Linked DNA regions of Lonchura striata. The protein of the gene in region 2 purifies or fractionates together with the protein of the main gene of each other region. This does not show direct contact. Links are inferred from orthologs where the notes say so. Each region holds a gene or a part of one and is shown on either strand. Other genes may lie near its edges.

Region 1 (10,501 bases), on a different chromosome or scaffold from region 2:
AACAGTTCCCATAGCATGTGATAGAAGAACCTCTGTTTTCTCTAATTTTCAGTTTGCAGGGTTAATAAATCAATGTCAGGAATTAAATATTATTTTATTAATTTTAATTAGTTAATTCATTAAATATTATTTTCTCATATCTTATTTTATTTTATTGAGTTTACACTCTACTGAACAAAATGTTGTTTTAACAACAAAGTAGAAGTTTTATTAAAAAACTTGATTTTTTTTTTTTTTTTTCCAGGATAACTGATATTTAATCCAAGTTGTGATCTAGATCCCCAAAACTAATTTTTAGGTCTTAGGTCTTAGCAGCTTGTCATCACCGTTCCCACTTCCTACTCTAGGAAGGTTCTTGTCTGCTATGAGCCTTTATTCCATGGAAGAAGAAATCAAGGTTGTCAAGCCCACAGGATGCCTGCCTGCTAATGGGTACACAGAGAATTACAGTAGGAAAACCTCATGATCTGTGCATTGCCAGAAACACATTAACTTTTGCTGGGTTACAAAAGGTGCTCTTTCCCCACTCTAGGCAAAACTGAGTCCAGTCTCTGGAGGAAAATTACTTCCCTTGAGCAGCAGAATGATATGCGTTATTACTTGCACCATCAAACTGGAATGAGTAGCATCCAAGCCCGCAAAACCTGTACCACACCAAGAAAAGAAATATACTTTCTTAATTAGAGGCAAGCTACTTTAACACAAGTATCCTTTGCTGTAGTTGTAGGTGAGATGCCCTTGCCACTTCAGAGTTAGCAGAGTTAGAGAGTTACTTCAGCAATTAAGGCCTTCAAACAGATAATGACAAACAGTCTCAAGTAATTTCCAGACATGCTTGATGTCAGCCTTTTTACTTCTGGCAGCCACTCCCTAAGCTATTTAGTCTTCCTAGTCACTGCTGTGTTTAGCAGCATGTCTTGGACTATATGCATCTTCCCTACTTTCAGCATAAATCAGATCTTCTTACAGATCTCTCTGTAAGGAGACTTACAGTCAACACTGCTCTCTTTGAGTAGATCATACCTGATTTCAAGTGAAGCTGCATCAAGACACATGTAATAAACAAGCTTGACAGCTGATGGACTCTACAAGCTAGAATGAAACACCAAGTTTAAGAGGTTTCATTCTTGTCACTGAGATCTGCTTAAAGAACTTAGGACACTATGCCATGCCCACAAATCCATTATCTGGGAGATAAGGTGGGTGTTAGCTGCAGGGATCAAGCAGCTGCATCCCGATGTGGTGCATTGCTGGGCTGCCCAGCACGTAAGCCTGGGATATAAAGTGTTCCACAGTGAATTAAAAGCAGAAAGGGCTTCATACACCTTAAACTGTAACTAGCCTTCAGTTAAAGGAGATAATTAACTGGGTGCTCAATAACTAAGATCTCACAGTATTTAGTTCTGGAAACATTGATGAGTCAAATCAGGCAATGTTTGAAAAGGTTATGAAATGACTAGTTCTGAGTGTTTTATAAAGCAGTGACTTCAAAAAAGTGATTTCTTTTGCTTGTCTCTGATTTAGAAAGATCACAGGCCTTTGTGAAACTTCTGGTTTGTGTACATCCAGAAACTGCACACTAATAAGCACTTTGATACTTTCTGTCCCAGTTTGAGTAAAACTGTTTCCAAAAATCAAGGGCTAGGTGGGGAGGGCAATGTTGGGGTTTTTTCAGTAACTTACTCTATTTTGGTAAATGTTACACATTCAGTACTTTTCCTCTTGCTAAGTTCCTTGGTCAAAGTAATTTGTAATTATCATGATGCACTGAATAGTTCTTCCAAACAAACAAATGTAACGTTTAGCTACTTATTAGGGATAGAAAGCTGTAAAAATTTAGTTTTTACAGCACCTTCATTTTTATTGCTTTAGGACTAATTGTGCATACACTGTTTGTGAGAGAAAGATTATTTATTAGCCTGATACAGTACCTTCTAAACCAAAAGACAAATAAAACTTTTAGTCATCACCATTAATATTATTTCCTATCACAATTCCATATATTTTTACTTTAAGACCTAAGGGAAAAAATATTTATTGGTTCCCATTTTTGGAACTAAATCATTATATTCATATTATAAATCTTTCTCAAAGACTAACCTATAGAACAAATTGGTTTGTATAATTGTCTCTCTATCCACTTGCTCCTTTCCAAAATGTCTTTTATTTCAATGCCCTACATAGTTTTTTTCTTTGTGGAGTACAGAGTTCCAGTAGTACAGAGTTCCATTTGAAACATTCATGCAGTTGCAATTATTTTGTTTTCCATCTTCCAGAAGAGAAAATAAAACCATAAGAAGTGTTCGTACACTGACAATAATTCTTGCAGAAAATAAAAGCAGCCCTAGGTAAAGATTAATTATTTCATTCTCTCTCCCTGTGGGTGCTGCGCATGTGTATGACTGTCACATTCTAGTACAGAAGAAAGAAATTAATCAGTGTTTAAATTGCAGATATTCGCTGTGTAATAACCTGATTTACTCAGTCTAAAAACCAATCTGATGATTTAAACAAATCTCATAAATCCAGATAGTTTGGTTTTTCTGTGTCACCTTGCTTTGTGTTCTACCTTGCATTAAAAAAAATTATTATTATTGCTGCATATTTCTATAATTGGAATATAATTATGTTATGAAATCATTCATTTATTAGAAAAATGAGGCTAGGAAAAATGGGGGGGTTGCCTGTTCTTTTAAATTTATGTCCACTGATGACATTATTTCCATCCTCAGTAAGCACTGAGGATTGCAGTTCGTAAGAAGTTCTTTTAAGCGTTCCTTTACAGGAAATACTGAAAAATTATATTTAATTCATCCAGTTAAAATGTCGTAACCATACAATGGTCATGCATTGTTTTCTATTGAACTTGGCAGATTTGTACTGTGAAATAGTTTTTTCATGCTTTGGCAGGAAAAGGCCAAGCAATTATTGCAATTTTGAAGAATCTGTGATCATAGAACAGTTATTTTCTTCTTAAACAAAATGTCACTTTATAGGAAAGCATATATTGAAACTGTTTCACTGATTGTGTCATTTTCTGACTTAGCCCCACTTGACTAACTAGCATGTTTAGAGGATGAAAATCGTAAGATGCAAGCATCAAGATGTCCTCACTACCTTTGGACTGGCATTCAATTTGTTTGCAGACATAGGGAGGAACCAATGAATTAAATATTTTCAGGTCATCATTTTTATATTGTCGTTTTTATTTAATTGCTCTATTTTTATAGCAAAAACAAAGGTAATTTTGTTGTTACCAAACAGGGCATGTGACATGAATTACTTTGCATCTCAACCAGTGAATCCAAGTACCTCTCCTATAGCCCCCCCTAAAGAAGCCAGGTACTGCCCAGATGAGCAAAGCTCCTGCTGCACCAAAAGCAGTTATGAAGCTCATAAGAAGGAAGGGGAAGACCTAAATATTGGAAAAGGGGAACTTACAGCAGGAGTAACAGCAGAAGAAAGATGATGGAAAAACACCAGGATGAATCTTACAGTGATAAGGGGGAGCTAACAGGGGAAGGTACCAACAAGAACAAGACCCAAATGTCTACCAGAGCCCATTGAATATCAAGAGTCTGTATCATAATCAGAAGTTCTTGGACCCCGCCTTAATCAAGACCAGAAGAGGCAGTCCTAAGAACCTGGATATGTGGAAAAATAGCGAGAAACGGGGAGATTCTGGACATGCAGAACCCATTTTGGTAGCTATGCTTCTGTCCACATTTACTTTGGCTTTTACATCTAGCATACATAAGATCAGAGAGAGGTACCCAGGCTTCAGGACAGGGGATGACATAATTTTAGGTATTTCTTCTGTAGTGGTCTTTACCTCATGAGTGATATGGAAGAAGAGTGAAGCCTGGCAAAAAAAAACTCCTTTGTAGTTGGCACTATTGGACCTGAATCCATCTTAGCTGGTGAGTTGATACCAGCAAGTTATTGATTTATTTTAATTTTTCTGTGTCTGTCAGCCAAATGTCACTCAGGATGTTAATTCAAAATGTTCCACATAGAACTGAACTTGGAGCCCTGAAAAGAAATCCTTCAGCATGCTCTGCTTACTGGTCTCTGCCTTCCTTCAGAGATATAGTCTGTGACCCATCCCTAAACCCAGGAGATCTGCAATGGGGAAATGAATAGTAGATTTTTTTCCCCTGAGCATAATTTTCTTAATTTATAGTTTCAATGCTCAATATGAATTTAAAAGATGTCTCAGGATTTGAGAAATTTAACTGAGTGCTTCAGTGTTTCTTTCTGACGCTAATACATTTAGTTGAGGATCAGCCCTCTACATATTTCTATGTATGGATAACTAAGAACATGTTTGCCTGGTGTTGTCAGCTTCAGTAGTTCATTACAGCATGAATCTATATGAAATCCAGACATTTGGTTCAACATCTGACATTAAGTGCATGTCATTAAAATGTTATTTTGTGAGAGAAAATATAACTAGGATATGTTTATGCATGACACTGATCATTGTTCAAAGAGAAACAGAAAGAGAATTAATTAATAAATATTTACCTCACTTTGAACTATGACATCAAAATTCTTACCCAGGTGAAGTGTACTGTAGGAGAAACAAGACTTTTTTATAAAAGCAGTATTGGCTGAACAACTGCTAGTAAAATGGAGGCAGCAGATCAGTGTGCCGTGACAGTGAATGTGGTCCTGGAGAGTGGGAAGGGTGCTGTCCTGAGCACTGCAAGCTGGGAAGGCACCATTTGGCAAAGACAGGGCACGGGGCTTGCAAGAGCAACTGCAAGTAATGTGGAAGAACACCTGTGATCTTTGTGACTTTGCCTATGACGGGAGGGTCACACTCCATGCAAAATAAGCAACAAAAGGAGTATAAAGGCATATGCTGAGAGATTCTGAACTGATTCAGGGTCTGGACACAACAGTCAGATATTTGAGCGGGGGGGGCGAGGGGGGGGGGAGGGGGCGGATTCCCAGAGCAATCAGGTAACTGCTGGGAGAATCGTTACCTGATCCCAAGAGGGAAGAAGAGAGCCTCTCCTCCTACTCTGCCACCCATGCAAAGCTAATAAAGTGGTGGATAGAAGTAACAACCTCAGTCACGGTCATTTTCCTCACGAGGTACATCCTAGTTGCCCCAGGATTTAAGATTCAAGGTGTACCTCCGACGGGTATTCGGACTGCACGAGTCTGCGATTCCCAGTTAACTCCTGAAGTTAAGCGCAGGCTGTGCAATAAGCTGGCAGCTACACCTGTCGCCTGGCACCGCTCTTCCCTCGCACGGGGACAAAGCCTGTGAGCTGAGCGCTGAGACTGCCGCTGAGGCGAGGGAAAACCCTCCGCTGCGGGACGGCGGAGCGGCCGCGGGGCTGCCGCGGGAGCGCCGGGCGGTCCCGTGCCGCGGGCAAGGAGCGGGAGCTGCCCCTGCGCTGCGGCCCCGCCGCGACCGCCCGGGGCTCCGCACGCTCCGCCTGCCCACTCGCAGCGCCTCCCAGGAGGAGCAATTCCTCCGCTCCCGCTGCTTTCCTCCTCTCCGGAGGCAACTCGAGGGCTGCCCACAGGCCCCCGCACCTGCCTTCCATCGGAGCCGATGCTCCCGGGACTCCGCGCAGTGCAGCGCTGCCAGCGCTCCCTCCTCGCTGCTGGCAGCGCCTCAGCCGCTAACCCGAGCGCTCTCGCAGCACCCGGACGCAGGGAAACTCCAAGCCCGCTCGAGCCCCTTCGGGAGCGGCATCGAGGGGACAGAGCGGCCGCTCTGCCGTTCTCACCCGCCGGGAGGGGGTGCCACCGCCCCGCCCCGCGCCGCCGCCGCGCAGGTCGCGCCCCGCTCCCGCCGCCTGTTGTTGTCGGGGCTGCCCGCGGCCGCCGCGGGGCGGGGCCGGGGCGCAGCGACCAATCAGGCGGCGCCGCCGCCGCCGCGTCGGCGGCATTCGCGGCCGGAGCGGGCCGGGAGGGCGCACGCAGCGCGGGCGCCGCGCCGGTCCCTGGGCGGGCGGAGCGGGCGCGCGTCGCGAGGCGGATCCCGGCTCCGGGGAGTCGCGGCCAGGACATGGCAGCGGCTACTCGGCGGCGTCCCTGGGCCCTGCTGTGCCTGGCTGCGGCCTCGCTGCTCTGCCCCGCGGTGGGCGGTGAGTGCGCAGGGGGGCGCGGGAGCGGAGAGAGGCGGCGGGCGCGGCGGTGGTGTCCGGAGCGGCGTGTGGGGGTGCGTGGGGAGATCGGCGGGGGGCGGCGGATCCCCGCCGGTTCCTTTCAACAACATGGCGGAGGGGCCGGCTGGGGCGGAGTCACCTTCCCCCCACCCCCGGTGTCCGAGCCCGGCGGGGACCGCTCGGCCCTTTGTTGGCCGAGAGCGGCGGCGGCTCCGCGGGAGGGGCGGCGGGAAGGGTCCCCTCGGGCCCCGCCGCTACTTCCTCGGCCCGGCTGAGCAGCGCTTCGGGCGATGTCTGCCCGCGTTAACTTTCTATCCTGATGTCCGCCCGGGGGGGTGCGTGTGGCCTTGGCCCGCGAAGGCAGCTGAGGCTCCTGGAGCTGCCGGAGCTCCCCTGTCTATCTGTCCGCCAGCTCCTGGGAGCTCCCGGGCGGGGTGCCCGGCAGCGGCGGGAGCGGCAGCCCCCGGGCCGCCGCAGGGCGCTCGTAGTGGTGCCCGGGAGGAGCGGCGGGGCAGAGACGTGTTGAATGTCCCACGTCGCGGAGGTGACAGGGGGCTGCCCCCGCTGTGCTGCGCGCTGCAGCACCGTGTGCTGCTGTCACGGTGCTGGGGGGACAGGCGAACTTTTGGTCCAGCACGCCCTCGCCTGTGTGCTCGGTGCGGGTCGAGCCGTGTGGAAATGAAATCTTCGGGTGAATGTTGTACAGCGAAACGGTTGTGTTCTCCAGTCTCCTGTACCTGTGCTTTTTTGCGAGAGATTTGATATCAGACTATGCTGTTGCAGAGCTAGTGCAAGAAACATTGGGAGTGCTTGACAGCATTCATAAATGGAAGATTTGGGTGGTTTTCTTTTTTCGTTTTGTTTTTTTTTTTTTTTTTTTGAATGTGCAGGTTGTTCTGCGGTTAGCAGTTTGGGACATATGGCCTAATGGATTGTATATTGCTTTGGATTTTAAAAAGGAAGTGGAGAAGCACCACAACTTTTTCGGTTACAGCTTTAAGAAATCCCTCAGTCTGGATCTATACCATGCTGTATATAATTCAATCTAAAATGGTAGTCATGGTGAAAAAAAAGCTACTTAAAGCATCACTTGCTGTATTAACATGTAGTGTTAATCACACATATTCTTACTGAAGGCGATGCAAGATCTCTGATGTGGAAACACTGAAATAAGCTTAAGTTACCCATGGGTTGTTCTTATGTTCTTGAAAAGGTGCGGCAGGCTTTAATAATTTAAAGCTTTCTTATGTAACACATTCAATTTAGTAGTTGAAGGAAATTTTAGTTCAATTTGAGCTTTGAACTTTTTCCCTTTTAATGCCTCCCATCAATCCAACAGTTTTCCCTTAATCTGAAGCATGAAATTAAGGTCTAAAAGCTTTGTGTGAAAACAAGGCAACAGACTTCCATACAAAACCTTATGGGTGGAAGTGATGGTGTGCTACCTTTTGTTTAATAAAAGATAAATCCTCTCTGTTCAATGGAATTGGAAGAAATCCAGGATTCATGATCCATAGCTCATCCAGAGGCCCTGGTATGGGTGAGGCAGGTAATTTGCCTGAACATTATGGTCTAAGTTGATAGAGTAGTTCAAGGTATGATTTGGGTACTGGTACTTCTTACTGTGAGTTGACAGAAGTTGGGCAATTTCTGGTTGCCTCTGCTGGGGCTGTTCTGCAATGTGCTGGTGTTACTGTGTGGATGAGTCATCTTGTGATACGGTTTATATGGAGGTCAGGTATGTAATGAATCCCAGCAGCTAGCTGAACAGTTGAACAGCCTTAATTTTTAAGACAGAGTCTGAAAATAGGCTTTCTGGTTTTCACTGTGTACGCCATAGTCTTTAGTCTTCTGAAGTTCTGGGGAGTCACCACTTGAAAATTCTTGAATTCAGACAATTGCTTCTAACTGCAAATAAAGATAACAATCTGATTAATATGGTGGAATAAATTTAAAAGTACAAATAAAGATCCTTCTGTTGTCATAATGCTTGTAAAATTATGATCTGGGCTTTTAAATTTAGCTTTCTTCTGTTAGTTTGGGTTTTTTTAAAGCTTATTCTTCTACCAGAGAAGAAACAAATTGTTACTGTATTATGCTCTAAGAGGCATGAACATATATCTCTGGGTAGTGTTTTTGATAGATGTCAAGAAAACTAAAAGTGCCATTTGGCTCCTACATTGCACAGAATATAATATCACTTTTGTGAAGTTGGGATTTTACACAAGATTTTATCGCTATTTACAAGTTGTGGGTACTTAATAGTAATTTATCTGTTTTCTTGAGTGCATCACTTTGTTTGACAAGACCTGCTGTTTGCAAGAAGGAAGATGGATGAAATCTATGTGAAAGTTTTCCTGAAAACTTGATACCCGGTGCTGTTACAACAGTGAAACTTTTAATTATTGCCTTTGTGAGAAGAATGTGTTAGTGGAGGCCATAAAGTATTGTGATTTTAAAAACTGTACCTATGTCCCAGATATTTTAAGATTGAAACCTTTTTGTATCTTGAGCTAAAAGAGTTCAGAGATGAGTCAGGTGTATTGTTTGAGGCGATTGTCTGAATTAGACTCAGAAGCTGACATTTGCACTGTTATGTATTATTCTTTTTTTCCTTTGGCAAGTGTTATTGGACAGGGAAAGAGCTACCAGTGAGCATGAAACCCTTTTGCTCATATCCCTAAAAATGTGGTTTTGTCTCTTGCACATAATAGCCTTGCTCCTTTATTCCCTCGAAACTCTGCATCTTATGGAACCAAGAATTGTGATTGCTCTTCTGATGAAGTTCTGCTTTCTGGTGACGTTTTGGCTTCAAAATTTGTAATATTCATGTAGGAACAGTGGTAATGTCTTCAAGAGAAGTGTCTTTTTTAGCAAAATGTTGCTTTTGGGTGCTGTGACTATTTGTCTTTTTTAAATTTGTAAAGCAAAAATATAGTATTAAATAAAGTATTAACAATGTGAAATTGTTAATTGTTTGCAGTAAGATGTGAGTTTGAGGTTTTTTTAGAGCACTTCACAAGTTTTAACTTCTGTACTGCTCCTTGTTAGCATCCTTTGGAAGACAATGTCTCAGCTTAAAATTTCCATCTATAAATTCTTTGGCTGAAGGTGGTGTTCTGTGCTAAACTGTCTGGTTGAAGAAGTGATGCAGGATGTAAACAAATGTTACATAGTGATTCATAGGGTTTTATGTAACTAAAAAAGTTTTTCAGTAATTTTCTTTCTTCAGATAGACAGCATATACAAAAAAACCTGTTTCAGTAGGTAACAGTCTGGTTTTGATTCAGATTTGTAAAAGTTAAGTGGTTAGAGTGTACTTAATTCTCTGTTCACATTTTGTATGTAGTGTTAATATCTCGGCCAGCTAATTTTAAGTCTTGTCAAGCTGCATAATTTCAGGGTTTCATTCATGCAGCCAGCTTGCTTTACTCTCACTGGGGGCTTCCAGACTGCAACATTCATGCAAGAGAGACTTGGTAAAGGAAAGGCAAAACTGTCAAACTCGGAGTTTGAGCAACTACACAAGTAATGGTATTCAACACAAGATGTTAATCTTGTGATATGAGAAATATGCTGTTGATAACTTGTACGATGTGATAATGTCATAATGCACACACCCTCACTTTCACAACAGCATTGTCTCACTGATTCTTTTAGGGTAGTCAGTCTCAAAAAGCAGAAATTACTATGTAGAATGGCAGTGACAAAATGTAATGCACAAGGAACTACATTGCTGTGTTGACCCAATTTCTGCTCTTGGCTACATCCCTGATTGTATGATTTCCAGGGCATTTGTTTATCTGTTTGTATTGTCATTTCCCCAACCTTGTATCATTTAAACAGACATGAACTTTAACTAGTCGGTAGTGGACCTTCATGCTAATGGTTCAATCCAAAAACTGTTATAATAATTTTTTTTAAAAAATAGTTCTCTGCCAAGGACAGATTGGATTGAGTACTTTTTTACTCTTCTTCAGTAGTTTTTAAAGTGCTTTTCGTGGTAGTAGATTTAAACTGTGTTTACCAAATGCATTGAAATGCATTTTCCCTGAGAGATTACTGGCTCTAGAAGGTCAGCTTACATCAGAGTTGTCAGTTTCTCATCCCTTTCTGCTATCATTCCATAATAGAAATGTGTGTATTTATTAAAGTGAACTTGGAGATATGACTGATTTCTGTCCGAGTTTTTTAAATTACTGTAACATTTCTTTGATAATAACAGAAACTACTTGGATGAAAAGCAAAAAATTCGATCTCCAAGAGGACAACAGTATGGGATTTTCTTTTATATCAGTTATAAGTGAAAATGCTTCCTTATAGGAATTAAGTAATTTAACTCTAGTTGGTCATTGACACCTCATGCTGAT
Region 2 (10,530 bases):
TCATGGCCAGTGTCCATGGAGCTGTTGCTGACACAGCCGCGTGGCACCGTGCTGGTGGCATAGGAGAGGGTGATGGGTCGCTCCGATGTCACCGGCTGCAGGTCACAGCCCTCGGCTCTCGCGGGGTCTGGGCGGAAAACAAGAGCCTGTCAGTCCGTGCCGCGGGGATGTTTGTGACACAAGGCGAGGGAGCACGGTGCAGGAGGGGGCTGAATGTCTCCGCCAGCGCCGGCACTGCCCTCCAGCCTCGGCCCCCATCCCGGCCCCGCCGGCACCCCCGGGACCATCTGCTACGTGTTCGCCCGGGGCCCGTCCGCCGCCGCCAGCCGCTCCGCAATCACGGTAATGACCCTTAGATCCGGGCTGGAAAAATCCGCTGTCCCTGCTCGGCACTGCTGCGTGCCAAAACTCGCACCCGGCCGCCCCGAAGGCTGGGGCGGTGGCGGAAGCCCCCCCCGCATCCCCCGGGCGCAGGAAAGTGGGAAGCGCAGGTATGGAAATGGTGTAAGGCTCATCCTCCGCGGGCGCTGGGGCGTGAGCTCTGCCCCATCCCAAAGCCCCCGGCGGCGTGCGGCGAGCGGGGCTGGCCGGCGGCTGCCAAGGGAAATCCTGAGCGCAAACAGCCATTTGAAGGCCTGATCCTGTCAATCCCCACGTGCCTCGACAGTTTCCTCCGCCTCAGGCAGCCCTGCTGTGGCCGGGCTGTCCTTAACTTGGCCCCGAGGAACCGTCTGCATCCATGGGTGCTCCATTCCAGGGGGCTGGGAAGGACAGACCCCCCTGGTCACAGCTGGGTTTCCATGGACTTTGGGGAGACAGTGCCTGGGATGTTGTGTTTCCTTTGGAGATGGCCACCGAGTTCTATCCCTTCCCACTCCAACTTTTCCCATCCCTGCTGGCTCCAGCCAATGCACCGGGAGGTGGCTGGACCGCACTCCCGGTCCATCCAGCCAGCCCCACCGGGACTTGGGGCTAGAGGGTGCAATGCTCCAGGTCATCGAGTTTTTGGGACACAGCACCCGGCAAAGGGCCGTTCCTTCCAAGTCGTGCCTCTCACGTTGTCCCTGACCTGCGCCTCGCCGGTGGGGTGGCCGGGCTGTGGCGGCGGCGGGGTCACGGCACGGACCCCCGGAGACGCTGCCGTGGGCCCATTTATTGTCCGGTGCTTCCTCCCCCCCGGCGCGGCGGCCGCGCGGCCGGCAGCATCGGGAGGAAGATAAACAGCCGCTTATCTGGGCGCCACAGGCTGCGTCCCTCTTCCCTTCCACCCCTGCCCCGACGGCCCCGGGCACGGCCGCGCGGCCCCGGCGCTGCTGGGCAGGGGCCGGGCAGCTCCTCGCTCCTCGGGCATCGCATGCCCTGCGAGGTCAGGCAGGGCTGGGGGCCGCGGCTGGGCTCGCCCTGGCAGGGCAGGGATGCCAGCGGAGGGGATGCGGGGCAGTGGTGCCAGTCGGGCACTGTCTGTCCCTGGGGAAGGCAGCGGGCTCCAGCATTATGTCAGGATCAGATAAGGGGGCTCAGCTGGGCCGCCGGGGCGATCAGATAAGGGCACTGTTATTTTTGTACTCCAGGAAAGGGAAAAAAAAATAAAAGGAAGAAAGAAAGAAAATCCACTTGATGTTTTTCCAACCTGCATTCTCCCTTGGTTTGGTGCCACTGGGATCAGGGCACAGGGATGGTCCCACTGTGGCTCCCCACAGTGTGGGTCAGGGGCTGGGGGAGAAATTCCTGGGTTTTGGGAGCAGAGAACAAAGCTGGGGTGTGGGATGCAGGGCAAGGGTGGCTCTGGCAGTGCAGGATGCCCATGGGATGGGCAGCACCGCTTTGGCATCCTTGCATTTGGTGGTGTTGCCTCAGCACTTGTGTAATGAGCTGATCCAGGGCAGGAATGGGGATGGGTCCTGCACTGAGAGGGAACTGTCATCCTCTGAGCCCCTGCTGGCTGTTGGACCATGCTGAGGTGGCACTGGGATGCAGATGATGGTGTGCATGGGTCCAGGCTTCAGGCTTGACATAAGCCACATCATTCCTGCCACTCTCTGAGTCAGACAGGTGCCAAGAAGCCTCTCCTCACAGATGGGAGGTGAGACCCAGCACCCCATGGGGAGCAGTGCTGGCCCCTGTCAAGGGGGCACAAAATCCCCCACCTCTGGAAGCTGTCTGTGTCTGTGAGACACCCTGACACTGCACCCACCAAAAGCACCCCAGTCCCACACCACTGCAGCCACCATGGACAGCCCAGTCCCAGAGCACTGTGCCCACTGCGGGCATCCCAATTCCATGGCACTGCACCCACTGTGGGCTCCCAGCCCCAGAGGTTCCTGTGAGGAAGAAGCAGCAACTGAACAGGATGTGGTGAGTAGCACAGGTAGGGAGGATGGGCACCACGTGTCACAGCCACGCAGGGCATGGACCATAAAGCGCAGACACTCAGGATGGGAACACATGGCACAGCTACATAGGACAGTGACAATATGGCACGGTCACACAGGATGGGGTCCATATAGCACAGCTGCATACCCTAGGGGTGGTATGGCCACAGAGAGGGTCTGTTTGTGTGGCAGGGTGACACAGCACAGGGACCATACAGACACATGCAATAGGGACCGTACAGCTCCGTTACACAGCACAGGGACTGTGTGCCACAGCTACGTTGGATGGGGATCATACAGCACAGTCAAATAGCACAGGGACCATAGAAACAGACATTCAGGATGGGGACTATATGGCACAGCTATGTAGGACTCAGCCCATATAGCACAGCCCTGTTAGGGAATGTATGGCACAGCCATACAGGGGACAAATACAAAGGTCATGGACACATGGCACCGCTACACAGGACACAGGTGACATTGCACAGCTGTGTAGGATGAGGACCAGACAGCACAGCTGTGTGGTATAGGGACTATACATCATACACAGGGAGGACAAGGCCTCTGTGCCACAGCAGCACAGGATGTGGAGCATATGGCACGGTTATAGGATGGGGACTGTACAAGAAAGCTACAGAGGACACAGACCTTACTGCACATCTACATAGGACAGGGACACCACAGCACTGCCCTAGGGCAGGGGCTGTGGCACAGCTATGGGATGGGCACCGAGCCTCACAGTTACACAGGACACAGGACTAACTGTGCATCTACAAGGATGGAGACTGTATGGCACAACTACAGGGGACACGGCCCCCACGGCACAGCCTCACCGGACAAGCACAGCCACCAGTCAGGGTTGTGATGTAAGAGTGGGTATCAAGCCTGGCAGTGGGGCCACCCCAGCACCATCCATGAGCACTGGCCCCCGAGGTGACCAGGAGGGACCAACCCAGCCGGGACACTCAGTGCTGCTGGCCCCAGCCTCTCCGGGCGGCTGCTGCCTCCCCAGTCCCCTTGTTCCCTTCCCCCTGCCAGCAGGCTATGTCCCCAAGTCCCCCAGCTCCCCGTCCCCCAGCTCCATCAGCACTGGCATCCCTCCCTGAAATTCCCTATGTGGCTTTGTAGGGATCTCAGGGTGGCTCTGACTGCTCCAGAGGTGTCTAAGCCCCCAACTCCCATTTGCGGCTTTAAGGGTTTTTTCCCATCTCTCACCCCCAGCTCCATCCCCACATTCCATGTGAGGTTTAAAGGGTTTTTCCCATCTCTCACCCCCAGCTCCATCCCCACATTCCATGTGAGGTTTAAAGGGTTTTTCCCATCTCTCACCCCCAGCTCCATCCCCACATTCCATGTGAGGTTTAAGGGTTTGCTCCCATTTCTCATCCCCATCTCCTGGTCAACCCCTCCATACTCCGAGGTGACAGGGACCAAAGCCACCCCAGACCCGCCGTGTGCCACCGTTTAGGCCAGGACTCGGTCACGGCGTCTTCACCACCTCCCACGCCCCAGTGACGCAGCCGGGATTTCGGGGGTCCCAGGGAGCGGCAGGGCTGTGCTGTGTGTGTTCCGGGAATCGGGGTGGCTTTATCCCTCCCCACTGGACGCTGCTCCCCAAAACCTCCTCTCCCGGAGGGTTCCCGGGGGTGACAATCTCTGCCTGTGCGGGCACAGCCGGGACCCCTTCGGCCACCGATCCGCAGTCACCGGCGGGTCCCGCCGCGGCGCCTGTCCCGTCCCGGGGGTCCCGTCCCGCTGTCGCATCCCGCGGGTCTCATCCCCGGTGCCCGGTTCCCCCGGTCCCCACTCACCCGGGCGGCCGAGCAGCGCCAGGAGCAGCGGCAGGAGCGGGACGGAGCGGGGGCCCATGTCCGCCTGCGGCCGCTCCCCGGGAGCCAGCGCCGAGTGCGGGCGGCGGCAGCGGCAGGAAACCGACTCCCTTCGGAGGAGGGTCCGCGGCGGAGGAAATGCCGCTGGCGGCGCTGGGGCCGGGCCGGCGGGGCCGGGGGGGGGCGGAGAGGATGGACCCCCCCTCCCCCGGAGGCGCCGTGCCTCAGTTTCCCTACAGCGCCGTGCGGGGCTGCACCTCCGGAGGGGCGCGCTGGAAGCGCCCTGGGCAGGGCGCTGGTACCCGGGGTAGGGCCCCCAGGGCCTCCCAGGGCTGGCAGTAGTGAGTGGAGGGGTTGGACACAGGGATTCTGGTGGTGTCCATCCACCCAAATATTCCCGGGGTGCTGCCAGTGATAGGGATGGGGAGCTGCCCAGCCGATGGGGAAGGGGCTGCCCCCGACATTCAGCCCCTACTGCTCCCATCCAGCACCCATGCAAGGTCACATGTGTCAGGCTGGTGGCCGCCCCATGGCCCCGGATGCCCCTTAGCGTTACTGCTGCCTTGCCTGACCCTTGGCCAGGCCACAGATGGGGCTGCCCGGACACCCCTACCTGGCAGGTGGGCTTGGGGTCAGGAGATCCCTTGCGACAAGGGGGCCTTGGTGAGGGCAAGGGTGTCACAGCTGGGCACTGCCGAAGGGGCACCAGGGACCCCCTTCTGCACTCCTGCTCCGTTCCTCCCCACACCTCTGCTGGCCGAGATGAGAGCCCTCACACAGCTATCAGTGGGGCTGGGACCCTCACACCGGGGGTGGGTGCAGGTCCTCAGACCCTGACACCAGGGCTGGTTTTCATCTTGACTCATGGTTCACGGGCATGGGGACAGAATGGAAACGAGCCAGGGAAGTCAGCGACGCCTGTCCCCAGCAGCCAGGATGTCCCCGGAGATGTCGGTGAGCCGGGGTGAGCAGCAACCATCTCCCATGACAGAGCACTGCCATCTCCTGGGGACCGCGGGGACGGGTGCTCACCCGGGGATGGGGACTGGCACCCAGCACGGGATCCTCTGAGTCCCTCGCACCCTTCTCCCCGCGGTGATGCCACAGGACAACAACCAAGTGATGGACAGTGAGATGGTGGCAGCCACAGTGTGACAAGAGGGTGGCCGTGGCGGTGGGGTGGCCACATGTACAGCCCCCTGCACCCCATTTGGCCCAGCATCTTCCCCTGCACAGCATATGGGATGGCCTTGAGATTTCAAACCAAAGAGCATCTAAACCTCAACACCAAGCACTCAGGGCCGTACTGGGGAGCAGGGCAGGGTCCCTGTCCCACTCCCTGCCCTGGAGAAACTGAGGCACACTCACAGCACACCCACAGAGGGCTGGAGGCACAAGAGAGATGTGTCTCCCCACTCCCCAGTTTTAGGCTGTGGTGTCCCAAACCACACGACCCCTCTGCCCCCCGTCTCCAGCAGCACGAGGCGAGCACTGGCCGGCCCCAGCCCTGGATCGCTGTCCTGGCAGTGTCCCAGCCCCGGCCGGATGGCTGCATCCTTCCTGCCCGCCTGCCTTCCCTCAGTGCCCCAGGCTCTGCCCACGGCTCGTGGCCCCGGAGCACGGGGCTGACGTCGGGCTGACTGGTGAGTTTGGGTTTTCGTCTCGGAGAGTTTTGTTTTTTCCCTGCTGGCTTCCTTTCTCCACTCTGACTCCTTGGCCTCGTGGCCTTGGCTGACCCCAACGCTGCCGCCCCTCCTGCCCTCCCAGCGCCCTGGCTCTGTGCCCAGCTCCCGGCAGCCCAAAAGTAAGTGGTGGGGGGCCCTGTTGGGGTTGGAGCTGTGCTACCTCCTGCCCTCACTGTGGCTGGGTAGAAACCACCCCCAAGCTCCACTGCAGCCCCTCTGCTATGGTGCTGTGCCTGTGTGGTTCTGTGGGTGCTGGGGAGCCCCCACATCCCCCACACCAGCACCCCCACCCAAATGTCTGTTGGGGTCCTGTGACTCACCACCATGAGGGCACCCAGCCAGGAGGACACCCAGCCTGGTGGCTGGGCTCGTCTGTATGTCCCCAGCATATTCCTTATCCCCTGGGGTTGGGGCTGAGCAGTGAGTGTCCAGGCTGTGAGAGTCCGGGCACAGCAGGACAGGGAACACCCCACTCCAGGGCATTGTGCCACCACAAACCATCACCGTGCAGCCACTGCGTACCCCAAAAAACCCTGACAGCCAACAGAAACAAGGAAATGCCAAGGCATGAAAGTGGTGGAAATCCCCATCCCGAATCCGGTCGCCTCCAGCCGCTGGCAGGCAGTGGGAGTGCTGAGACGCATGTGCAGGACACGACTCAGAAGCTGCCTGTGTGTCCGGAGACACACCCAGAGCACAAGGGGGTTCAGAAATAGGGACAGAACGAGGGCAGCCAGGACTGGCTGGAGGATGCAGGCGCAGGCTCCCTCCAGGCCACGGATTGGGAAGCCGGGGCGAGTGGCTGGGATGCTCCCTCCCTTCCTCTGAGCGCAGCATCCCGCTGCCCCGGCGGGATAAACACCCACTTCCTGCCCTTAATCAGCTCCAGAGGGGCTGGGGGGAGGACAGAGAGGGAGAGAAAAAAAAAAAAAACCAAAACGCTGGAAAGAAAAACTCATTTCCTGCGACAGAAGAAAAAGATAAAGTCTGGATTCATTAAAGTGAACTTTACTGGGGAGAGACGGGAAAGAGCCAAACACAATGTCCTTGAAATTTCCTCCGCACGGCTCCGTCCACGAAAACAGGATAAAGCCGCTTCCGCTGTCTCTGCTGGAGTGCACCGGGGGGATTTGGGGCTGGGGGTTCGGTTACAGGCAGTCGAGGTGGGTGCAGACCTGCTGGAAAACCTCCTCCACAGAGCCCTCGGCGTTGAGCTGGGTACAGAGGGGTTAGCTGGGGGACTTGCCCAAGGGCTCTCCCTCGAGAGCAACTGGAACTCTCCCAAGGATGCATTTTGGCCATGGGTGAAGAGACCACAAAGAAGTGAGCCATCCTTGGAGGGGGTTGTGTCGGGAATGAGAGGGGTCAGGCCCACCCCAAACTAGGCAGGATTGAGTTTTCCTGCTTCCCTCATCATCCCCATCCATCACTTCCCCTCCCCTGGGACACAAGCCCCAAGCTGTGGGGCTGGCCTCAGCCGCATTCCCGCTTACCTGGCGGACGATGCCTCTGCTCTGGTAGAAGGCAATGACAGGCTCAGTGGCCTTATAGTAGGTCTCCAAACGCTTCTTGATGGTCTCCTCGTTGTCATCCACCCTCCCGCTGGTCTCTCCTCGCTTCAGCAGGCGTTTCACCATTGTGTCCTTCCCCGCATCCACGTAGAGCAGCAGCGTGGGGGGCGCGATCTGTGGACAGAGGGGACGTGGCTGTCAGCACACTGAGTTGGCGTGGCTCTGGTTTGCTTTGGCAGGATTGTGGTGGTCAGCATGAGGGTCAGTCACAGATGTCCCCACACCACCCTCTGCCTCCCTCCACAGGGGTCTGGGGGTGAGCAGGACACAGGGATGTTCCCACACCATCTCCTGCCTCCCACCACTTTGGTCTGGGAGCCACCAGGACACTGTTCCAGTGGCCTCCAGGGCCACACAGAGGAAGGCAAAGGGACACTGCAGCCAAACCCTGGCTCTCTGCCATCACCATCATGTCAGCACTGTTGTCACACGCTCTGTCAGCCTGAGGACACCCTGGTCCCTCCCACTGTGCTCTGGGCACAGGCTGTCCCCGAGGCAGGGGGTCCTGCTGCCCAGTTTGGACCCTTCTGGGATGTGATCTCTGCTGGGATGGGGAGCCCAGGCTGCTGCTGGATTGAGTGCCTGTGCTAAGCTGGTGTGTGGCATGGCCCAGCATAGCACAGCACTGCACCATTCCTCACCTTCTTTTCAAACTCCTCTCCCTGTTTCACCTCGCGGGGGTATCCGTCGATCAGGAAGCCCTTGGACACATCTGCTTTGGCCACCATGGCATCCCGCAGCATGTCCAGCACCGTGTCCTGCAGCGGGGAGCACAGAGCTGCCACGGCTGGTATGGGACAACAGGACTCCCAGGCAGCATCCCCAGTCCCCGCTGCAAACCCCACCCTGGGACGGCAGGGCCAGAGATGCCTGAGCCACGTGCCAGCCATTAGTGTGGTGGCCCCACTGATACCCCCACACCCCACCATGTGGCAGCTGGTGCTGGTAGGGACTTACCAGGGGCACCAGCTCTCCCTTCTCCATGATGGCCTGCAGCTTCTTGCCCCGCTCCGAGCCCGAGCTGACCTCTGCCCGCAGCAGGTCCCCCGTGGAGAGGTGGGTGTAGCCATACTTCTGCACGATCTTCTCACACTGTGTCCCCTTCCCTGAGCCAGGGCCACCTGCAAGGCACGAGTGTGCCCTGAGCTGTGGGAATCCAGGGCTTCCCTCTGGCTGCCCTGGGACCCTGGCAGGGGTCAGGAACCCCCCTGGACAGAGCCCCCAGAGACACTGCCTGTGATCTCTGGCCATGGAAAAGAGTTTTCAATCTTACAGGATGAATTACAAGCTCTGAGTGTTTGATATAAGTAATAATTAAGTGTGGCACGGGTACAAAAGTAAAATTTTAGGATTCTAGATAAGGGGTCCAAAGGGCACAAGATGGAGGAAATTGGGTGTGTCTTGTCCTTTTTCTCCTTCTTCATGCCCTCCATATCTCACTGTGGTGTTGGCATTTTTCTGTTGGTTCAGGCTGGGGACACACTGTCCAACGTAGGTGACAGATATTGGCACGTTATTGTAAACCCAGCCCAGGGAGTTTCTGGTATTTAATGTTTGTCACATCCCACTGAGGGCAGAGCCCCACACGCTGCCCTGCAGGACAGAGCTGGGCAGGGCAGCAGAATATGTGAGAGATAAACAGAATAAAAAACCTGGGAACCAGCACAGACCAATTATGGCTTCTTCTTTGGCAATGGGGCAGAAAGACAGAGACTTTCTACAATTTCAGAATCATCAATACCTCAGATTCTGACACCGAGCCACGGGTAAGGAGAGGGAGGGGTACACGGAGCAGCAGCGCAGACACACACAAGTCCCCAGAGCTCGGTGACACGTCACTTGGTGTCCCCAAGCCCAGCACCAAGTGGATGGACAGAGCTCCTCTTGAGGTTTCCCAAATGCTTGGGAGTGGCATGGGCTGCTGGGAATTGGCATATGGGCACCACACCCTGATGGCACCCAGGGCATCACCACCCAGGGTTTTGTCACATTTCCTCCCAGGGGTTTACTGTCACATCACCCCAAATGCTGCCACCCCATGCCTGGCCAGAGGTGCCCTCCTGGTCCCAGCATACCCCACGTGGACTCGAGCAGCCAAGCTGGAGCCACGGCCATCCCACAGTGCCTGGGAATAGCCCAGTCTCAGCCTCCAGCCCTGTTTCCCCAGCCTAGAGGTACAGGGAAAAGGCCTGGGCTGACCCCACCAGTGACAGGACCCAGACACAGACTTACCCACCACAAAGATGATTTTGTGCTGCTTGAGCTTTTCTGGAAAAAAGAAAGGAAAAAAAATTATCCAAAGCCAAAAGGTCCATCAGGGAGTGAGGTGTCCCCAGGGGGTGCCAAATCCAGGGCAGGCATCCCTGGGGATAGAGGGGACCGATCCAGGAGAGTCCTGGGGGGAAGATGGAGAGGGAAGCAGACGTGTGTCCTGGTCACCTGGGCAGGTTGGGATGTCTGGCCACGTCTGAGCACAAAGACCCCATGGCACCTTGGCCTGGGGCTGGAATTCCCGTGCCACGTGGTGTCCCAGAGGTGGTCATTGTCCATGGCTCCACTGCAGGCAGGGACTGGCCTCATCCATCCCTGTGGCTGGCTTCTCACCCCGCTGGGCTAACTGGGGCCGTGGCAGGCTCAGCTTGGCACGGCCACCTCGAGCACCTGGCACAACCCCAGCAGTCCCTGGACCCCAGCATCAGTCCCTGGACTGGTGGCCGACGTGCAAGTGGCACTGAGCGCCCGTCCCCTGCCCAGCACCCTGGCACAGGGCTCTCACCACCTGTGGAGTCTGTGCACCAGCCGTGGTGTGGGGTGATGCCAGGGGGTGATGCCGAAGGGGGAAGCAGAGCTAAAAATAAAGTTGGGCTGCTCTGGGGCCACTTTCCCATCTCCTGATTACAGCTGGATGAAATTTCAACTCCTTGGCACCCAGCACTCCCCAGAGCTGGGGACGGAGCCAAGTGTCTGGCAGGGACCAATGGGATGTGGGGCATGTGGGGGGGCTGGAGGGACATGGGGGATGGACAGAAGGGAGGGAGGCAAGGACACAGGGGCACGTGGAGGGGGGGAATGC
Region 3 (10,441 bases), on a different chromosome or scaffold from region 2:
TGTGCTGGGACCCGGCCTTTGCCATGTCCAAGCTCCTTCCTTTCTCCCAGTTGTTATAAATGGAAATGTGTCCGGCCAAATTCATATGAAAAAATAAAATATTTTTTTTGCAATCAAATTCTATCTAGCCAGCCATAAGGAAAGAACAGAGCCGAGCCCAGGGTCAGCACCAGAAGTCAGCCTCAGCAGAGGTTTTTCTCTATGCCCACACACCTCCAGTGGTTTTTATAGGGAAAATTCTGCCTGAGGCCAAGATTTCAGCAATCAGTCTTTTCTTCTATTCAGAGTCGATATGTTAATAAGACTCTTTTTTTTGGTGATGAGGGAGAACAATTCAGTGTCTGGAGTTTGTTGAATCCCTTGATGGAACGCTGCATTCACATGGATCTGTCTGAGGATTTCCATGAGATCCATCTTGGGTCGTTTATTCATGATCAGCACCTGGGATTTCCTATGGCCCATCTCCTGGTGAGCTGCACCTTCTTACTTGTAAATCAGTTTCTAAAATACACCCCGTGTCACCTGCGAGGGTGGTGGTGGGGGGGAAATCCTAATACAAACATGTATACTCCAACAAATATTCAATATCACATAAATCATATTAGAAATGGTGTGAATTATATCCACTCTACATAACACAGCGATCCCTCCAACGGCGCTTCCCACTGTTCCCAGGGCTCCTGCTCCCTAAAAACACAACCCCTGTGGGCTTGGCAGCCCTGCTGATACCACAGAATTTTTGGGGAGCCCAGATTTGGGAAGCCCTGAGCGTGGCACGGAGCCCAAAACCCCCACAGCACGGGCAGGGGCTCAGTCACGGGGGTACTTTTGCGTGGAGCTTATCAGCGACACAAACAGAGGTGCTGGGACAGCCAAAAATTCCTCGCTGAGCCTTTGGGGGAAGTTTGGCTATTTTTAATCTTCCTATTTTTTTCTTTTTTTTTTTTTTTTTTTCTCCTCCTTGTGAAAGAGACGTTTCTGCCAAGGCAAACATGGCGATCCCCCCCTCGCTGCCCCCCGCCTCGCTGCCCCGGCCCCTCCTGGGCTCATTCTTCGTGTTCCCGACACAAACATGCCAAAAACTCAGTTTCCTGCAATTGAAGAGCCCAGCCCAGCGCTGCTGGGACAGGAATCAAGATTGTTTAGATTCTGGCCTTGATGGGGAAGCGTAGTCACGCAAGCCCGGGGACGTGGCTGACCCCGGCAGGCTCCAGCCGCGCTGCAAATCGGGTTTTTCCTCCCCAAAATAACTCACTGGGTTGTGGCTGGAGGGGAGGAAGCAGTGATCAGATCCTGGGGTCACTGGGGATGGAGGGCAGGACCTTGGTGCCCGGTGGAGGAGTGATGCCAGGCTGATCCATCTGACCCTGGCTGGGGCAGGATCAGCTTTGTTTTAAAATCCCAACTCCCCTAGGATCTGCTTGATCTTAAAAATTTCTCTTTATCTTAAAACTCAACCCTCTCCGAGCTGGGCTGCTGATTGCTGAGCACCAGCACCACGCTTCTTGCAGTCCTGAGAGCTGCAGGATGATTGGAAAGGGAAGCTGAGGCTCCCAGGTGGTGAATTCCTTCCCTGGAGCCACTTCCCCAAAATCCTGAACCGTTAGACAGCTGCAGGATATTTGCCATGAAACACAAAGCAAGCAGGGCCTCACCCAAAACTCTGCTGTGTAACGAAATATCCGAAATATCCCGTGGGTTGTGGTTGTTATGAGAGCAGGGAAGGGTCTGGAGCAAACCCTGGGGAAGGGGAATTTCCTCATCAAAACTCTGGAGGGAAAAGCAAAGGGAAAATAGAGCAGAAAAGGAGTGCAGGGAAGAGTCTGGAGCAAACCCCAGGGAAGGAGAATTTCCTCATCAAACCCCTGGAGGGAAAATAGAGCAGAAAACCAAAGGAGTGCAGGGAAGGGTCTGGAGCAAACCCGGGGAAGGGGAATTTCCTCATCAAACCCCTGCAGGGAAAAGCAAAAGGAAAATAGAGCAGAAAAGGAGTGCAGGGAAGGCTCTGGAGCAAACCCCAGGGAAGGGGAATTTCCCCATCAAACCCCTGGAGGGAAAAGCAAAGGGAAAATAGAGCAGAAAACCAAGGGAGCCCAGGGAAGGGTGGCTGGGCACAGCTCTGGGGTGTGCAGGGAGGCTCAGGGGTCCCTGCTCTGACCAGGGCAGCCTGGCCGGGCTCCTCAACCCCAGCTCTTCCTCCTCCCCTGCAGGTTCTGCTGCTGACAGGGGCTTCAGCCACGGGATGTGGCTCAGGGCTCAGTTCCCTGTGCTGCCTTTTCAGGGCAGCCTGTGGGAACTCCGAATGTCCCTCAGACATTTTCAGAAGTTCCAGGCCTTGCTCAGAAGCATTTTAGACCCTGGCAGGCAGCTGGAAACAGCTGAGATTTTGAGTTTGAGCCATGGAATGAGTTACCAACTTTGAAGGTGGAACAAGCAGTCATAAAAGGTTAGATAGCATAGTAAAAGTAGTTACAAAACAGAGGGAAAAATTGTTTTAGTATTGTACAAGAGGGTTTTAGTACCTGTACAGGGGGCTTGTTATTTTATACATGGGGGTCAGAAGTTCTAAGATGAAAGAAAGTGGGCTGATCCTGTTCTTCCTCCTTCTTCTTCCTTGCCTCCATGTTCTTGGTGATGTTGGCACTCACAGATTAGAGTAGAAAAGCACTTTGTAACACAGGTAGTAGGTATTGGGGGAAAACTATAAACATGTAATACGTAATATATCATATAAAAGCTAGCAGCAGCCCTGGGTGGGGGGAGAGAAGAAGAAGACAGCAGACAGAGAGGGTGACAGGAGTTTGTGTGTGCCTCTGCCTGAGCTGCTGAGCAAACCACAGCAGCCAGAGATGAAAATCTTTTAGAGAACTCGCAATAAACTGTCTTGAGACCCAACAACAAAAGGCTGCAGAATTTTTCTTTGGATGCACGGATTAGAGGAGAGACTTTTCCACCACACCAGACCCCAAACCAAACCCAAGGTTCTCACAGCAGCCCAGCCCCTCGTGCCACCGCCGGTGCCAGGCAGGGATGCCAGGGCAGAGCTGCCCGGAGCTTGGCCAGGTCCCCGAGCCTGGTTTTGGGCACAGCTGGAGGTTTCCTTGCCCTCTCTGCGGCTGCAGGGGGGTCACAGAGGCAGCAAAGGCTGTGCTCGCCCTCCAGCCCACCCCACCAGCCTCTCACTGAGAGGCATTTCCACTCCACGGAGGTGCAGCACATAAAGAGAGCAGCAAAACCCACTCAGGAGAGCAGCAAAACCCACTGAGGAGAGTGGCAAACCCACTCAGGAGAGTGGCAAACCCACTCAAGAGAGTGGCAAATCCACTCATTAGAGTGGCAAATCCACTCAGGAGAGCAGCAAACCCACTCAGGAAAGTGGCAAAACCCACTGAGGAAAGTGGCAAATCCACTCATTAGAGTGGCAAAACCTGCTCAGGAGAGCAGCAAACCCACTCAGGAGAGTGGCAAACCCACTCAGGAAAGTGGCAACCCCTGCTCGACATGTCAGCGTTCAGGAGCACACAGAATCACAGAATATCATTATCTGCCTCCGACACGGCTTTCAAGCTAAACATATTTTATATTTTATCCTTATATAACTTAGATATTCATTTGCATATTAATTAGTAAATTTACATTGTTTAGGAACACAAATAATCACAGGATATCCTTATTTGCAGTGCTTATATTGAGAGGTCTGGGAATCAGGGGTACAGACCCAAATCTGACTCCGACACCCATTTCGAGCTGATATTTTATATTCTATCCTTACGTAACTCACATATTAATTATTAAACTTATATTGTTCTATTGTATACACTGACACGAGTTTCTCGTCATCTTTCTTAGCTCACTGACCACAGTTTCTCATGATTAAACAATAATTATATTTAATTACTAGACAATCATCACATCTAACAATTATATCAATTATCATGTCCTAGCTACACAGTGCAGGTCTAGCGAGTCTGAGTTCTCCATGTGCTTAAGGAATTGATTTTTCCAGGACCTGCTAAGATGATTTTTCCTTTTAACCCTAAATCCCCACGATTTAAAAACCCTTTTATTAGCAGGAGGTGCCACTTTCTGTGCCCCTGGTGCCCAGTGCAGCCCTCAGAGCTGTCAACCTTCCCTGTTTTTTCCCCAGTCCTTTTCAAAATACACCCAAATTCCCCATGGACCCGGGATGGATCTCATGGACCTGAGATGGATCTCATGGACCTGGGATGGATATCATGGACCTGGGATGGATCTCATGGACCTGGGATGGATCTCATGGACCTGGGATGGATATCACAGACCTGAGATGGATCTCATGGACTTGGGATGGATCTCATGGACCCAGGATGGATCTCATGGAAATCCTCAGACAGATCCATGTGAATGCAGCCTTCCCATAAATTTCATCACGGGATTCGACAACTCCTGGACACTGAATTATTCTCCCTCATCTCCAAATGAGAAAATCTTATTAACATGACTCTAAATAAAAGAAAAGACTGATTGCCGAAATCTTGGCCTCAGACGGAATTTTCCCTATAAAAACCGAATTTTCCCCATAAAAACCACTTGTGCCAGGATGGAGGTGTGTGAGAATCAGGGGAAAACTTCTCCTGAGGCTGACTCCTTGTCGCACACCCAGGGTCGATCCCCGAGCTCGGCACCGTGGTTTTATTCATAGCTGGCTAAATAAAATTTGACCACAAATAAAACTACTCTTATTTTTTTTAATTTGGCTGAATAAATTTTCATTTCTAACAAATTAGGAGGGAAGGAAGCCCTGAGCTGGGTGCACCCCCAGACCCCAGGAGCACGAAGCTCTTCCCCGCTCACCTCCAGCATCCAGGTCCTGCAGGATCCCACGGCACCTCCCGGCCCTGGCGGGGCTCTCCCGCTCCTGGATCCACCTCAGCCGGGGAAGTTTTGCTCCTCAGCCCCAACTTGGAGGATTTTCATGGATCTGCTCCACTCCCAGCACCCATCCTGCCACCCTGGGGCTCCCACGGCCGCGCCTGTCCCGCTGGGGGAGGGATTGTCACCCTTCCCCTGCTGAGGGGCTCCAACACGGCCGCTCGGCAGCTGCTCTACTCTCTGGATGTGGGAGAAGTCCAAAAAAAAAAATGTTTCTTATTACTGCCTCTTCCTGCCTGGCTTGTCTCCACCACTCCCAGCTAATAAAGCATTTCCTATTGCTGAGCACACAGCCACCACCGGCCTCCCTTCCTCCCGCTCACCGGGCCCCAGCTCCATCCTGCTCGCCCTCCCTGGACTGTTGCTCCCTCCCCGTCCTTCCCCCCCAGCGCTTTCCCACCCGATTTCCCGGCTTTCGTGGTGTTATGAATGAGATTTGATTCAGACAGATTAAAAATAAAAAATTATTTTATTAGTGGTCAAATTCTATCTAGCCAGCCATGGAAAAAGACAGAGCCAAGCCCGGGGATTGACCCTGGGTGTGCAACACGGAGTCAGCCTCAGCAGAGGTTTTCCCCCATGCCCACACACCTCCATCCTGGCACAAGTGGTTTTTATAGGGAAAATTCGGTTTTTATAGGGAAAATTCCGCCTGAGGCCAAGATTTCAGCAAGCAGTCTTTTCTTCGATTCAGAGTCCATAGCTTATTAATAAGATTTTCTTTTTTTTTGGTGATGAGGAGGAATAATTCAGTGTCCGGAGTAGGTGAATCCCTGGTGAGATTTACGGGAATGCTGCATTCACATGGATCTGTCTGAGCATTTCCATGAGATCCATCTTGGGTCGTTTACCCAAGATGATCAGCACCTGATGGTCAGCACCTGGAGTCCCAACGATCAACACCTGGAGTCCTGATGGTGAACACCTGGAGTCCTGATGGTCAGCACCTGGAGGCACGGTGGGCATGGAACAGGGCACGGAGAAAGGCACGGTGGGCATGGAACAGGGCACGGAGCAGGGCATGGTGGGCATGGTGGGCCCGGAGCAGGGCACAGTGGGCTTGGATCAGGGCACGTTTGGCTCAGAGCAGGGCATGGAGCAGGACACGGTGGGCACAGAACAGGGAATGGAACAGGGCACAGAGCAGGGTGCGGTGGGCACGGAGCAGGGCATGGAGCAGGGCACGGTGGGCATGGAGCAGCGCACGGGGCAGGGCACAGTGGGCACAGAGGAAGGCACGGAGCAGGGCACGCTGGGCATGGAGCAGGGCATGGAGCAGGGCACGGAGCAGGGAACGGAGCAGGGAATGGTGGGCACAGAGCAGGGCACAGTGGACTCGGAGCAGGGCATGGAACAGGGAATGGAGCAGGGCACAGTGGGCACGGAGAAAGGCACAGAGCAGGGCACGGTGGGCATGGAGCAGGGCATGGAGCAGGGCACAGTGGCCACAGAGCAGGGCACGGAGCAGGACACGGAGCAGGGCACGGTGGGCATGGAGCAGGGCATGGAGCAGGGCACAGAGCAGGGCACGGTGCCCACGGGAGCCCTGCACTGGCACGTCCCCGCTGTCCCCGCTGCCCCGTGCCCGGCACTGGGACCTCGCTGGCGGCGCCGTTCCCACGGCTGGGGCCGGGCACTTCCCTCCCGCGGAGCCCGCGGGGCCCTGGGCGGCGGAAGCGCCGCTTCCCGTTCTGCCACTTTCAGGGTTGTTCTTTCAGCCCCCCCAATCTCAGCCCCCCCCCGATTCTCCCCCCGCGCCATCCCAAAACCCATCCCTGCCTTTCTGCCGGCCGGGTTTGGGCAGAAAAGTGATGTTCCGCAAGCTCGGTGCTAGCAATGAATTTTGGAAACCTTTTCCTGTGCCCTGCTCACCTGGGAGGGCACAGAAAGTCCCTGGCTGCCCTGGCACCCTGGCAGGGCTCAGGAACCCCCTTGGACAGAGCCCCCAGAGACACTGGCTGTGATCTCTGTCCATGGAAAAGAGTTTTCAATCTCACAGCATGAATTACCAGCTCTGAGGGTTTGATAGAAGTGATAATTAAGCATGGCACAGGTGCAAAAGTAAAATTTTAGTATTCTAGATAAGGGGTTCAAAGGGGACAAGATTGAGGAAATTGGATGTGTTTTGTCCTTTTTCTTCTTCATGCCCTCCATGTTTCACTGTAGTTACAAACTCTGAAGGCTTGATATAAGTAATAATTAAGTGTGCAAAAGTAAAATTTTAGGGTTCTAGATTAGGGGTCCAAAGGGAACAAGATGGAGGAACCTCCCAAACCCTCCCGGAGCCTCCCAAACCCTCCCAGACCATCCCAAACCCTTCTGGAGCCGCCCGGAGCCACCTGGAGCATCCCAAATCCTCCCAAACGCTCCCGAAGCCTCCCAAATCCTCCCAAACCCTCCCGGAGCCTGGGCACATCCTTTGGCCCTTTTCCGTGGGAAAGAAAACTCACCAGTCCAGGTTCCTGATGTCAGTTTGTAGGGCTCCCTTGGGTCTATCAGGGCAGCACAAGTTTGAGGTGGGGACAACTTCGGTGTGGGGTCCATCCTTCGATATAAGGATTCTTTGCAGTCGGGGCCAGGGGCCCCTGGGCACATCCTTTGGCCATTTTCCCTGGGAAAGAAAACTCACCAGTCCAGGTTCCTGAAGTCAGTTTGCGAGTTGTGCTTGGGATCTTCAAGGCAACCCCTCATCGACATGAGGGCAGCTTGGGTCCACAAGACATCCTTCTGCATTCAGATTTTCAGGGGGCGGCCCTTCTTTCATGGCCCCTGGCTCTTGGACTCTGTCGCTGGCCCTATTCTGTGTGAAACATGGCTCACCCTCTTCACTTCCTGATGTCCATGTCGAGGAGGTGCTTGTCTCTTCCAGGACAGGCAGAATTCTTGCTGGCAGCAGTTTTGCTCCTGGATAAATCCTGTGCCATTCAGAACAAAAAGATGTAGAAAGTCACTTGGGGCCACCGGCCTTGTGACCCGACCTCTGCCCTTTTTCCGTGTAAAACCAACCTCACCCTCCCTGTGTGTTGATGTGTGTTCACTGGAGGCGTGCTGCTCTCCAAAGGCAGTGAGAGTTCCTGGTGTTGGCAGCTGTGGTCTGCGAGAAATCATTCACTGTTTGCAATTTTGGAAGCACAATTCCTGTTTGCCAGGGGAAAGACTGTTAATTATCTTGGAAATGAAAATCTGGCACCCCATTGTTTAAGGGTTAGACAAAGGGCTGTGTAGGGGAGGGACACCAAACCCCCCCCAGGACCCCCAAAATTCTACTCAGGACCCCCGAAATTCCTCCCAAAAACCCCCTGAGACCCCCAAAATTCTCCCCAGGACTCCAACCCCCCCAGGACTCCCAAAATTCCCTTCAGGACCCCAAAACCCCCCCTGGGAGCCCCAAAATTCCCATCAGGGTCCCCAAAATTCCTTCTGGGACCTCCCAAAACTCCTTGAGACCCCAAAATTCCCTTCAGAACCCCAAAACCTCCCCCAGGACCCCCTAAATTCTACTCGGGACCCCCAAAATTTCTCCCAAAAACCCCCTGAGACCCCCAAAATTCTCCCCAGGACTCCAAAACCCTCCCAGGAGGCCCAAAATTCCCTTCAGGACCCCAAAACACCTCCTGGGACCGCCAAATTTCCCTTTAGGACCCCTGAAATTCCTCCTGGGACCCCAAAAACTGCCTGAGACCCCCCCAAAATTCCCTCCAGGACCTCAACCCCCCCCTGGGACCCCCAAAATTCCCATCAGGGTCCCCAAAATTCCTCCTGGGACCCCCCAAAAATTCCCTGAGACCCCCTAAATTCCCTTCACGACTCCCCAAAAACCCCCTGACACCCCAAAATTCCTCCTGGGATGCTGCAAAGACCTTCCAGAGCCCCCCAGGACCCCCCCAATTTTGTGTCACCCCCCAATTTGGGGTTCCCCCCGATTTTTGGGTCCCCAGGCTGGTGGCTCATGAGGACGACCCTGACTCGGACCCCGAACTCCCCCCGGATTCAGCCCTCCATGTGTCCTCGGTATCAGAGGCTGGAATTGCAGAGTTGCCGCTTTACCCCCAGACGTAATTTTTGATGTGGTTGTGCCACTTGAACAGTATTTGAAATCTGTTTGTGCTCTTGCAGCAGCATTTCCGGACCACAATGGAAATTGAGCCCTTCTGCCTGGGGCTGCTCACAGAATCGTGGAATCCCAGAAGGGTTTGGATGGGAAGGCACCTTTTTTTAAAGCTCGTCCCGTTCCACCCCTGCCATGGGCAGGGACACCTTCCACCATGCCAGGGTGCTCCAAGCCCTGTCCAGCCTGGCCTTGGACACTTCCAGGGATCCGGGGGCAGCCACAGCTTCTCTGGGCAACCTGTGCTGGACAGCAGCTTTGAAAGGCAGAGTGAAGAACAGCTGTGATTTTTGTGCTGCCCCTAACATTGTATTGACTGGCAAATGTGCCTTTGGGGTTTTTTGGGTTTTTTTGTTTTTTTTTTCTTTAGTTTTTTTTTTTTTTTTTTTTTTTTTTAAATTTTTGTGACTAAAAAGCTACCTTGTGTTCCTGGAATGTTGCATTCTACCTCTGTTGTTTTCCCAGTCAGTCTGGATCCTCTGCTTACATTTTTTCCTTCACTTATTAGATGTCGTGGATGTGCTGGCTGTTCTGATGGAGGGCAGTGATGGCTTAGATGAAGGAATTGGGTTCTCTTTAAATGAAGACGTGATTATCCAAACATTTCCCTTCAGTGCTGTTGTCCCTGCTGCATGAGCAGCCAGGAATATGCTGTTGTTTCAGTCTGAAAATGGAACAGGTACAGGGTTTTTTTTATGTTTTATGTGTCATTTCTAGCAGTGGAGTGAAAGCGGCATCATTTCTACCCTCTTGTAATAATTTTTTACCATTTATCATTTTTTACCTTGAGGCATTTTATTATCTTCCCTGCAAGCAGCAGGAGGTGCAGATTCACGGTGCTTTGTGCTCAAGAGGGGCATTGAAGCTCTGTAGGTGCTTCTGCCCTTTTCCCCTGACCCTGAAGAGAAGGGACACTGTCCCTGCATGGACAGTCTTGGCCTGGAAATAGCTGGCCTCAGTAACACAGCGTTTTAAGGGCAGAGCGTGGCAATCAGGAGAGGAAGGTGGTTCCCGTGGGCAGCTCTTCCCGAGAGCAGGGAGAGGGGACTGCCTTGTTAAGTAGGAAGTGGGTGCGTTTCCCAAGGAAAACTTCAGAAATTGAGCTCCAGGGGCAAACACTGTGAGGTTCTACCACCTCCTTGAGGACATCCTTAAAACCACAGGGGCATCAGCAGGGCTTGGAGCAGGACTGGCCAACCCCAGAGCACCTCACGAAGCCTTCTGTGTGTATGTGGCAGTCGAGTTGCACCTGGGGGGTGCTGAAAGTCCCAGTTCTGAGAGAAAATTCTGTTTAACTCATACACGTTGGCTGGGTGTGTCTCCCCAGTACAGCTCGGTTCTTCTCTGAGGCAGGGTCTCTCCCTGTTAAGGGCCGGGCGTGTTTTTGGCACAACACGGTGAATGTGGATTATTTGCTTCAGC

The links.
Region 1: the proteins of ENG (region 2) and TGFBR1 purify together in Homo sapiens (affinity purification with western blotting; 5 studies listed by BioGRID and IntAct, with this or other methods). This does not show direct contact. The link is inferred for Lonchura striata from reciprocal best matches to the Homo sapiens genes ENG and TGFBR1.
Region 3: the proteins of ENG (region 2) and ACVRL1 purify together in Homo sapiens (affinity purification with western blotting; 3 studies listed by BioGRID and IntAct, with this or other methods). This does not show direct contact. The link is inferred for Lonchura striata from reciprocal best matches to the Homo sapiens genes ENG and ACVRL1.

Annotation. Positions count from the first base shown.
Region 1 is NC_134603.1:84,463,754-84,474,254, forward strand, and holds the start of TGFBR1 (TGF-beta receptor type-1), read left to right. Parts: upstream 1-5,945; 5' UTR 5,946-6,031; coding exon 6,032-6,110; intron 6,111-10,501. UniProt on the Homo sapiens protein: Transmembrane serine/threonine kinase forming with the TGF-beta type II serine/threonine kinase receptor, TGFBR2, the non-promiscuous receptor for the TGF-beta cytokines TGFB1, TGFB2 and TGFB3.
Region 2 is NC_134624.1:716,983-727,512, forward strand, and holds the start of ENG (endoglin), read right to left. Parts: upstream 4,319-10,530; 5' UTR 4,242-4,318; coding exon 4,184-4,241; intron 128-4,183; coding exon 1-127. Other genes in the region: AK1 (adenylate kinase isoenzyme 1), read right to left, coding at 7,035-7,100, 7,380-7,571, 8,099-8,215, 8,415-8,578, 9,690-9,725. UniProt on the Homo sapiens protein: Vascular endothelium glycoprotein that plays an important role in the regulation of angiogenesis. Required for normal structure and integrity of adult vasculature. Regulates the migration of vascular endothelial cells.
Region 3 is NC_134629.1:6,227,387-6,237,827, forward strand, and holds the start of ACVRL1 (activin receptor type-1-like), read right to left. Parts: upstream 5,084-10,441; 5' UTR 4,834-5,083; intron 1-4,833. UniProt on the Homo sapiens protein: Type I receptor for TGF-beta family ligands BMP9/GDF2 and BMP10 and important regulator of normal blood vessel development. On ligand binding, forms a receptor complex consisting of two type II and two type I transmembrane serine/threonine kinases.